Oryctolagus cuniculus: one gene and its partners. The protein of the gene in region 1 interacts with the protein of each later gene in a biochemical or structural test. Links are inferred from orthologs where the notes say so. Each region holds a gene or a part of one and is shown in the gene's direction. Other genes may lie near its edges.

Region 1 (2,596 bases):
GTCTGAAACATGCCCTCTTGGAGTGGAGCAGACCTTGGCTCTCCTGAGTTAACTTAAATCCACATGGTCTGCACTCACCACCATCATTGAAACAACAGAGCTTCTGGTTAAAGGCCCTGGTGGTCAGATCCATCTGGTCGTTCACTAGGGACTCCTGGCTGAGGGCGAGGTGGTGGTGCACTATCGAGGAGTTCGTGGGGGAAGGATCTGTGTCATCTTGGGTCTTTGCCACAGGTGGAATTGTTTGAGTTCAAGGGAGAGGATCTGACAGACGACGAAGACGGCGGAATCATCCGCAGAATACGGACTCGGGGTGAAGGCTATGCTAGGCCCAACGATGGTGCTATTGTGGAGGGTGAGTCAGTTCCGCTGAGTCTGGGATTTGGATACTGATGCACACCTGGGGACCAGATGGTTTTGGCTAAGTCACTTCCCTTCTCTGAGCCTATTTTCTTAACTATAAGGTTTGGGATTGGACAATACACTCTTAATATCCCTCCAGGTCTGAGACCACAGCAGGGGTATCTTGGGGACAAGAAGTGATGGGTGACCTAGGGAGGCTGCTGGCATCCTTCCTTGGTCCCCTGCCCTCTCACACCCTGGCATACTGCCTCTTGCATGCTAGTCGCACTGGAAGGGTACTACAAGGACCGGCTCTTTGACCAGCGGGAACTCCGCTTTGAGGTCGGCGAGGGGGAGAGTCTGGATCTGCCTTGTGGGCTAGAGAAGGCCATTCAGCGCATGGAGAAAGGCGAACATTCCATCTTGTACCTCAAGCCCAGGTGAGCAGGGGGTGCTCTAGAGCCAGTGCCAGACCATGAGTTGTAGAGCTGGCCACTTGTGTCCTTTCCCCTTCGTGTGCTGGGTGCAACTCAACCACATGTGTGTCAAAGCGTGGCCACGATTGTCTGCCTTGGATCAAAGCATATCTTTTCAGTCATTGCTGCAGATTGTCTCCTGCCAACATTAAGATTTTAATCTCCCATTAATTGAGTCACTCGCCATTTATTGAGATGCACCTGTTAGGTACGATAGTGGTGCTGAAAATCTCGAGGTTCAGGGACTAACAGAACATTGTTCCTGCCTTCCTAAATTAGTAGTCGTACCACTGTGTGCTCACAGAAGATGCTAAGGGACCACCAAGGTCAGGGAACATTTTGCCAAACAGGAAACAATGGGCCCAGGTCTGAAAGCATGGGGTGGGGAGGTAGTTGAGAGGAAAGGGGGAAACGTTAGGGCTGCCGAGCTGACCCGGAGCCTTTCTAACCCTGCAGTTACGCGTTTGGCAATGCTGGGAAGGAAAAGTTTCAGATCCCGCCATATGCTGAGCTGAAATATGAAGTCCACCTCAAGAGTTTTGAGAAGGTGAGTTTGCACGGCGTCTTCCCTGCCCACCCAGGCGCAGATTCCGCGGGCGCTGACAGCTGTGTTTCTCCCCTGGGTGCTGGCAGGCCAAGGAGTCCTGGGAGATGAGCTCGGAGGAGAAGCTGGAGCAGAGCGCCATCGTGAAAGAGCGAGGCACCGTGTACTTCAAGGTGAGCAGACGGGGCCGCTGCTAAGCACACCCCTGGGAGGGCTGCCCTGGGGGCTTGGCACCTGCTGTGTCTGAGCTCAGTGGTCTCAGGGGCGAGGAGGAGATGGCCCCTGCCTGTGGGTCACAGGTGTCTACAAGTTGTGATAGACTGGTGACACCGAAGCTGTGCTGGGTGCCTGAACCCTCCCTCCCACTGCAGGAAGGCAAGTACAAGCAGGCTCTGCTACAGTACAAGAAGATTGTGTCTTGGCTGGAATACGAGTCAAGTTTTTCCAGTGAGGAAGTGCAAAAGGCACAGGCCCTGCGCCTGGCCTCCCACCTCAACCTGGCTATGTGTCACCTGAAGCTACAGGCCTTCTCGGCAGCCGTGGAAAGCTGTAACAAGGTGAGGCCCCTTAGAGGCTGTGGAGGCAGCGAGCACAGGCAGGGCCAAGGAAGCTTCCTGAGCAGGGCAGGAATGGTGGGAGTGCAGAGACAATGAGCCCCGAGTCGGGGGCTGTGAGTAGCACGCACCTTGGCTTTGGTGGGGAGAGATGGGGGAAGCGCTGGGTGGGAAGAACTTCGGTGTTCACCCAACGTGGTTCCCAGCCTCTCATCCACCGGCTTGATCCTAAAGACAATGGAGGTGGCAGCCTTCCTCCTCTTTGACCAGATGCCTGCTGTCGTCTTCCTCTGCCTCCTGAATGATCGAGGTTCCTACCTAGACCTCAGTCTTCTCCCTTCAATGCGCCATACCTTGTTCTTTGTGGGCTAGAGTCAGCCATTTCCGTTCCTCTTCATCCTGTGGAGCCCAGCCTTGGTCAGGCGGGCTTCAGGGCCTGCCCTCTCACTGTGCTGCCTCTTCCCCGCATCCTCAGGCCCTGGAACTGGACAGCAACAACGAGAAGGGCCTCTTCCGCCGGGGAGAGGCCCACCTGGCTGTGAACGACTTTGACCTGGCACGGGCTGACTTCCAGAAGGTCCTGCAGCTCTACCCCAGCAACAAAGCGGCTAAGGCCCAGCTGGCTGTGTGCCAGCAGCGGATCCGCAAGCAGATTGCCCGGGAGAAGAAGCTCTACGCCA
Region 2 (3,650 bases), on another chromosome or scaffold:
TAAAGATTGATTTATTTATTTGAAAGGCAGAGAGAGAGAGAGAGAGAGAGAGAGGTCTTCCATCTGCTGGTTCACTCCCAGGTGTCCGCAGTGGCTGGAGCTGCACTAATCCAAAGTCAGGAGCCAGGAACTTCTGGGTCTCTGATGCGGGTGCAGGAGCCCAAGGACCTGGAGCATCTTCCACTGCTTTCCCAGGCCGTAGCAGAGAGCTGGATCAGAAATGGAGCAGCCAGGACTCGACCCAGCACCCACATGGGATGCCAGCACTACAGGCAGCTGCTTTACCCACTACACCACAGTGCTGACCACAAAGTATTGTTAACACTAGCTTTTGCAAATCTGTTGATTTGTCATCAGGAAATAAACTCTGAGCAGGCTAATTTTGATCTCCTTTGGATGTCAGTAGCTAAATGAAAAGATCAAAGTGGATTAAGAATTTTGGCAAAATCTTGAAGAGAAGTTCTTAATGTGTATTTTAAAAATCTTTACATTTCAGGCCGGCGCCGCGGCTCAGTGAACTCACTTTAACATGGTTACTTCTGTAAAAAAAAAAAAAAAAAAAAAAGGCCGGCGCCGCGGCTCACTAGGCTAATCCTCCGCCTAGCGGCGCCGGCACACCAGGTTCTAGTCCCGGTCGGGGCGCCGGATTCTGTCCCAGTTGCCCCTCTTCCAGTCCAGCTCTCTGCTGTGGCCCGGGAGTGCAGTGGAGGATGGCCCAGGTGCTTGGGCCCTGCACCCCATGGGAGACCAGGAAAAGCACCTGGCTCCTGGCTCCTGCCATCGGATCAGCGCGGTGCGCCGGCCGCAGCAGCCATTGGAGGGTGAACCAACGGCAAAGGAAGACCTTTCTCTCTGTCTCTCTCTCTCTCTCACTGTCCACTCTGCCTGTCAAAAAAAAATAAATAAATAAAAAAAATCTTTACATTTCAATTATTTATTTTCCTAAAGTGAAGAATTGTTCTAAACCAATTTATAAAATCATGTTGATATATTTTAACCTTCTCTTCCAGAACAGAAGAGTCTGTTTTCTCCAAAGGATTGGTAAGATGTCTTTATTCTCATTGTAATTTAAATACATAGTCGTGTCAACAATTATAGCTGCTGATTTCACCATGTGTGTATCTTCATAATTTTAATCTGTAGGAATTGCTGGAGAATGGCTTGTTAAGAATAGAGGACAACAGTCTCCTTTATCAGTACTTGGAAATCAAGAGTTTTCTTACTGTACCTCAGGTAAAAGCACCACAACAAAAGATACTCTAATTTTAACGCATCCTATTTTGAACTTCAGTAAAGTAAAGGTGTTTTCTGATCCTGCTTCCATTTTCTTCTGTTTATGTCCTTTGAAAGCGCTCATGCAGTGCAATTCAGTGGAACGCTGTGTGATGATGGATGTGTTCTGTTATCTGTGCTATATAGTGTGAAAGCCACTAGCTGCTTTGAACACTTGGAATGTGTGGCTAGTGTGATGAGGAGTTGAATTTTAAATTTAAATTAAATTTTGCCATGAGTGACTACCACAATTAGTAGCATAGCCTCCAGTGGAAAAGGATAACCTTATTCTTACACACTTTCTGTGAGAAGCTTAGTTAAAGAAACTCCTTTATTTTTCTCATAACTCAGATTCTCAGAACTCCATCTTTAGGAGTCTACACTGACCTATTACTGAAAAGGCTAATCCACATTTTGTTCCCTCCTGTGGTTAATTTTGCCTAGTACTCTTTGTTATGATATCCAAGTAGGTCTTTAGCTATGAGTATAGACATTTCATAATTAAATGGAATAACATGGCTGACTTTTGTTAATACAGCGATATTTCAGAAAATTCATGGAAAAATGGAATTAAAAGATACTTTTATTTGGTGCAAAATGTTTGAAATCTATCATGGTTTTATTGTATGCATTTTATATGAATCTTATGTATTTTATATGATATGTATTTTATATGATTCTTTGAAGATCCCCTTCATGTGTTAAGGCTGTTGATTTTTAATGAGTGGATTGCATTTCTGTGTTTGATTTCATGTTCTTACCACTCTAAACAATAAACAATTAAAAATATCACTCACTTTTAAAATCACACTTTGTAATATAACACTGTTACTTACAAAATTGATTATAGTTAGCCGTGTGGTAGACTTGGAATGGTAGAATGAAAGGCTCAGGGAAAAACAAATTTACTTCCACTTTTAACTTTCCTTCCTACAATTCTTTAAATTTTTAGTACCCAGTATTGATAATATGCTTGTTTGTTGTATCTGAATTAAAAATTTTTTTTGTTTCCAGGGTTTAGTCAAAGTAATGACACTTTGCCCTATTGAGACATTGGTATGTAAGTAATAATTGGTTACAGTGAGAAATTTTGATAAGTAACAATATTTTAAAATATTTTTTTCATTTTATGTTAACAATATGATTTGTTCCATTTTAGAGGAAAAAGGGTTTAGCTATGCTTCAGCTATATATTAACAAGTTGGATTCACAAGGCAAATACACATTATTTAGGTATGTATCAAGCAAGGGTAGTTGCTAAGTGTGTGGTTGATTGAAAGGCAAGTTAGCCTGTAATTATTCTAGCGTGTGGTATTTCAGTATGTCTTATGTGTAATTCAGCTGTAATTGGAAACCTCATTGTAATAAGTTCTCTTACCTGAGATAGGTAGAGAAGGGGTTTAAATACATATGTGTGTAGGTATTATAAGAATAATGTATATTTCAATTAATTGAAATATTTAAAACCTAAAGGTTTATGTATTATTAAATTAAAAAAAAAAGATTAAACTGAGATTGATAATACTCCTGCTAGAACTTTACATATGTAATGATTTCCATTGTTCACTGTTGAAATTAATGGCTCTGGAGTTATAACTGACAGGCCATTCATTTTAAGTTGATATTAGAGCTGTCAAATAGTGCTGTTTGTGGCAGAAAAGTTTTCTAAGTTTTCTAAGTTAAAGATTTAAATTCCCTGTATAGGGCCAAATAGTGAAGATAGGTGTTATGGGCCTCACAGTGTATTCCAGTTGCTCAGCTTTGTCTTTGTATTAGAAATTATTGTGTTCCAGTAAAACTGTTGTCAAAAACAGACAGGAGGCTAGATTTGACCTGCAGACCTAAGTTTGTCGGCCCCATTCTAGGTAATAAAAATGAGTTAAAAACAGATTTTGATAGTGGTGAAGTGCTACAGAATCTTCTTTGGGACGAGCTAATACTAGCACTCTTGATCCGACCTTCATTTCAATTACCAGTCAGAGCAGGTTTGTGAAATCTCAGTAACTAGTCCTTACACTGGCTTTCCTGCTTTCTTTCTGTATCTTGACCAAGGATTCTCCTCCTTTCTTGAGCTGGTCATACTGAATTTCCTTTCTTTGCTTAATTAATCTAGCCAGCACAAGTCTGCTTTTACAAGGAACAATTTGGGTAGTTTTTTAGGTTGTTAGACTGATGCTTATTCTTGCTGTGTTCAATTACTGCAAATGTATGCAGAGTAATTGTAATATAGCCTAGAGTAATTTCGTGTTTTGTGATTTTGCTTTTAAGGTGCTTATTGAATACCAGTAATCATTCGGGTGTAGAGGCCTTTATTATTCAGAATATCAAAAATCAAATTGACATGTCATTTAAGGTAAGAGCATAGCCACGATATTACC
Region 3 (3,750 bases), on another chromosome or scaffold:
GAGCACCCCCCAAATGGCCACAGTGGCCAGGTGGGGGCCAGTCTGAAGCCAGGAGCCAGAGCTCTGTCCTGGGCTCCCACGGGTGGCAGGGGCCATCTGCCGCATCAACAGGAAGCCGGGCGGGAAGCAAAAGCAGCTGGATCCAACCGGCACGCTTATCCGGATGCCGCATCCCAAGCGGCGGTTTAACCCACCAGGCTCCAGGGAGGGCAGCTGGGGACCTGCCCCTGCTCTCCGCGCCTCCCCCTCCACTCCTCTCCTCCCCCGCAGGCTGGGCAAACCTGGGCCAGTCACATTCCTCCCCATTCACTTGTAGGAAACGCACATGAGGGCCGGGACCCGCCCGCGGCTGAAGGGGTCTGTTCCCACCTTTGCGACGCTCTGCACGCTGTGGGCTGCGCTCACGCTCCCAAGCGCTCTCCAACCTTCTCCTGGAAGAGCGGGTTTTCCTAGAGACCACGAGGGAGCGGAGCGGTCAGGTGCCTTTAGGTTGGGAGCGTCCAGCTGTTCCAGAGGGCCAGGCCCGTCGAGGGAGGAAGTGGGCCAACAAAGGGAGAGCTGGACACAAAGGCTCCGAGGGCCGGCGCGCTGAGCCGCGGCGTCCTTCCAGGGCAGACCCCGACGCTGACAGTGAGGACCCTACAGCCTGGATGTGGCTCTTATTTTTTTTCTTTTTTAACATTTATTTGAAAGGTAGGGTGAGAGAGGTCTTCCACCCGGAAGTTCACTCCCCAGATGGCCAGGCTGCAGCGTGAGCCAGGGACTCCACGCGGTCTCCCACGTGGGGAGGGCCCGGCCGCCGCCGCCCCCGCCCCGGGCTCCGAGCGCCCCAGTCCCACTTAGACCTGGCCTGGGGCGGCCCCCGGGGCTCCGGCGCTGCACGCCGCTGCTTCTCCGGAAGCGAAAGGCTACGGGTTTCCCGGAACCCCGGCGGCGGCGGCGGCCGGGCGAGCGTGGTTCAGCACCTGGGCACGGGGAGGCCGTGGCATCGGGGAGCCGGCCCGGGGGGCTTCCGCGGCCCTCGCCCTCCTCACGCCCGGCCTCGGGCCGCACCTCTGCGGAAGCCCAGGCGCCGGAACGCAGCCCTCGACCCGTAACCGCCGCCGCAGGCCCGCAGCACGACTCCAAAACCCAGTCCCCAGACACAGCGGACGACCCGGCCCGGCGACCGAAAGCTGGCAAGGCCTGCACCCCAGGCCGCTGCACCTTGCGCGGGCGACTCGTTGGGAGCGGCCCCGAGCTGTCATAACCCACGGGCCATTTTTTGCACATTTCACACTACAAGGGCAGGGACCTCAGGGCTCGACGCCCCCTCCCCCGCCCCGGCTCGCCCGGCGCCGCGAGGACGCATGCGCACGCGCCCGCGCTCGCGCCCGCGCTTGGCGGGCTTAGGAGCCCGGAAGGCGCCGAGCCCGCGCAGGCGCACAGGGGCCGGCGCGAGGGCGCGCGGCGGCGCGGGCGGGCGGGGGGCGCCCGCCGTTCCCTGCGCGGGGTCGTGCGCGAGCCCGGGGCAGGGGCGGGCCACAGCCAGGGCGCAGGCGCAGGCGCGTGGCCGCGGTGGCGGTTGGGGAGGGTTCTTCCGGAAGGTTCGGGAGGCTTCTCGAAAAGGCGCCGCGCGCTGGGCGGGCCCGCCTCTATATAAGGGCGGCGCGGGGGCGGCGCGCCAGTTGCTCCAGCGTCCCGGTGCTGCTGCGTCGCGGAGGCCGTGCGGTTCTTCAGCCAAGGTGAGGGGGCTGCGGGGGGTCTCAGGCCCGGGGGTGTGCGGGGGCGGCGGCGGGGAGCGGGGGCGGCCGGGGGCCCCCTCGGCCGCGGTGCCCGAGCGGCCGCGGTTCGGCCTCCGCGGCCGGGGCCTGTGGAGCCGCCTCCGGCGGGCCGGGGGCGCCGCGAATGTTCTGGAGAGGCCGCGGGGCGGGGGCGGGGCGGGGGCGCCGGTGCGGGGCTGCGGGGGGTGGCGCCCAGCCCCCGGCCGTGCCGTGCCGGCCGCCATGGCGGGGCCGCGGCCCGCGGAGGGCGGCCGGCGGCGGCGCGGGGCGAGCGGGGCCCGGCCGCGGCGTCCGCCCCGCAGCGCGCACGCTCCCGCGCCTGCCGCAGCTCGAAATGAGGTCATCCCTTTGTGAGGCGCCCGCGCCGGCCTCGGGGCGGGCGGCGGGGGCCGTGCGGCGCCTGATGGGCCTCGTGCCCTTGGCAGATGCCCGAGGAGACCCAGACCCAAGACCAGCCGATGGAGGAGGAGGAGGTGGAGACGTTCGCCTTCCAGGCGGAAATCGCCCAGTTGATGTCCCTCATCATCAACACTTTCTACTCGAACAAAGAGATCTTCCTGCGGGAGCTGATCTCAAACTCGTCGGATGTAAGTGGCGGCGGGGAGGAAGGGGCCCTGGCCTCGGGGGGCGGGGGTGGGAGGGCGCCGGCTGGGTGCTGAGGACTTGGGGTCTTCCAGGCTCTGGACAAGATCCGCTATGAAAGCCTAACCGACCCCAGCAAGCTGGACTCGGGCAAGGAGCTGCACATCAACCTGATTCCCAACAAGCAAGACCGAACCCTGACCATCGTGGACACGGGCATCGGCATGACCAAGGCCGACCTGATCAACAACCTGGGCACCATCGCCAAGTCCGGCACCAAGGCCTTCATGGAGGCGCTGCAGGCTGGCGCCGACATCTCCATGATTGGCCAGTTCGGGGTCGGCTTCTACTCGGCGTACCTGGTGGCTGAGAAGGTGACGGTGATCACCAAGCACAACGACGACGAGCAGTACGCCTGGGAGTCCTCGGCGGGGGGCTCGTTCACTGTGCGGACCGACGCAGGTAGGGGGAGGGGCGCTGGGCGTGCTGGCGAGGGGGCCGGGGCTGGCGGGGCCGGCCTCGCGGGGTTCCGCCGCCGCGTTCGCCCGGGCCGGCCTGGCCTCGCGGGGTTCCGCCGCCTCGTTGGCCCGGGCCGTGCTGGCCTCGCGGGGTTCCGCCGCCCCGTGCGACCCGGCGCGCTGGCTTCCCCGCAGGTGAGCCCATGGGGCGCGGCACGAAGGTGGTGCTGCACCTGAAGGAGGACCAGACGGAGTACCTGGAGGAGCGGCGCATCAAGGAGATCGTGAAGAAGCACTCGCAGTTCATCGGCTACCCCATCACGCTGTTCGTGGAGAAGGAGCGCGACAAGGAGGTGAGTGACGACGAGGCCGAGGAGAAGGAGGACAAGGACAAGGAGGAGGAGGACAAGCAGCCCGACGACAAGCCGGAGATCGAGGACGTGGGCTCGGACGAGGAGGAGGAGGAGAAGAAGGACGGCGACAAGAAGAAGAAGAAGAAGATCAAGGAGAAGTACATCGACCAGGAGGAGCTCAACAAGACGAAGCCCATCTGGACCAGGAACCCCGACGACATCACCAACGAGGAGTACGGGGAGTTCTACAAGAGCCTGACCAACGACTGGGAGGACCACCTGGCCGTGAAGGTGAGCGCCCCGCGCCCGGAGGGTGGCAGCCCGGCCCCGGCGCCGTCGCGGTGGTGGTGGTTGGCACCGGGCCTGTGTGTCGTTGCAGCACTTCTCGGTTGAGGGGCAGCTGGAGTTCAGAGCGCTGCTCTTCGTCCCGAGACGAGCCCCGTTTGACCTGTTTGAAAACCGGAAGAAGAAGAACAACATCAAGTTGTACGTTCGCAGAGTCTTCATCATGGACAACTGTGAGGAGCTGATCCCTGAGTACCTGAGTGAGTAGGAGCGGGAGTGAGCCCAGTGTCGCTGGTGATGCCACCATGT

The links.
Region 2: the proteins of FKBP4 (region 1) and GLMN form a complex in vitro, tested with the Homo sapiens proteins (2 studies listed by BioGRID). The link is inferred for Oryctolagus cuniculus from reciprocal best matches to the Homo sapiens genes FKBP4 and GLMN.
Region 3: the proteins of FKBP4 (region 1) and HSP90AA1 form a complex in vitro, tested with the Homo sapiens proteins (4 studies listed by BioGRID and IntAct). The link is inferred for Oryctolagus cuniculus from reciprocal best matches to the Homo sapiens genes FKBP4 and HSP90AA1.

What each region holds. Positions count from the first base shown.
Region 1 is NC_091440.1:106,513,212-106,515,807, reverse strand, and holds part of FKBP4 (peptidyl-prolyl cis-trans isomerase FKBP4), read left to right. Parts: intron 1-234; coding exon 235-355; intron 356-625; coding exon 626-782; intron 783-1,274; coding exon 1,275-1,365; intron 1,366-1,451; coding exon 1,452-1,535; intron 1,536-1,733; coding exon 1,734-1,919; intron 1,920-2,391; coding exon 2,392-2,596. UniProt on the Homo sapiens protein: Immunophilin protein with PPIase and co-chaperone activities. Component of steroid receptors heterocomplexes through interaction with heat-shock protein 90 (HSP90).
Region 2 is NC_091438.1:78,356,459-78,360,108, forward strand, and holds part of GLMN (glomulin), read left to right. Parts: intron 1-1,010; coding exon 1,011-1,041; intron 1,042-1,143; coding exon 1,144-1,233; intron 1,234-2,286; coding exon 2,287-2,328; intron 2,329-2,431; coding exon 2,432-2,505; intron 2,506-3,540; coding exon 3,541-3,625; intron 3,626-3,650.
Region 3 is NC_091451.1:45,357,007-45,360,756, reverse strand, and holds the start of HSP90AA1 (heat shock protein HSP 90-alpha), read left to right. Parts: upstream 1-1,479; 5' UTR 1,480-1,724; intron 1,725-2,188; coding exon 2,189-2,350; intron 2,351-2,440; coding exon 2,441-2,807; intron 2,808-2,998; coding exon 2,999-3,447; intron 3,448-3,535; coding exon 3,536-3,701; intron 3,702-3,750. UniProt on the Homo sapiens protein: Molecular chaperone that promotes the maturation, structural maintenance and proper regulation of specific target proteins involved for instance in cell cycle control and signal transduction.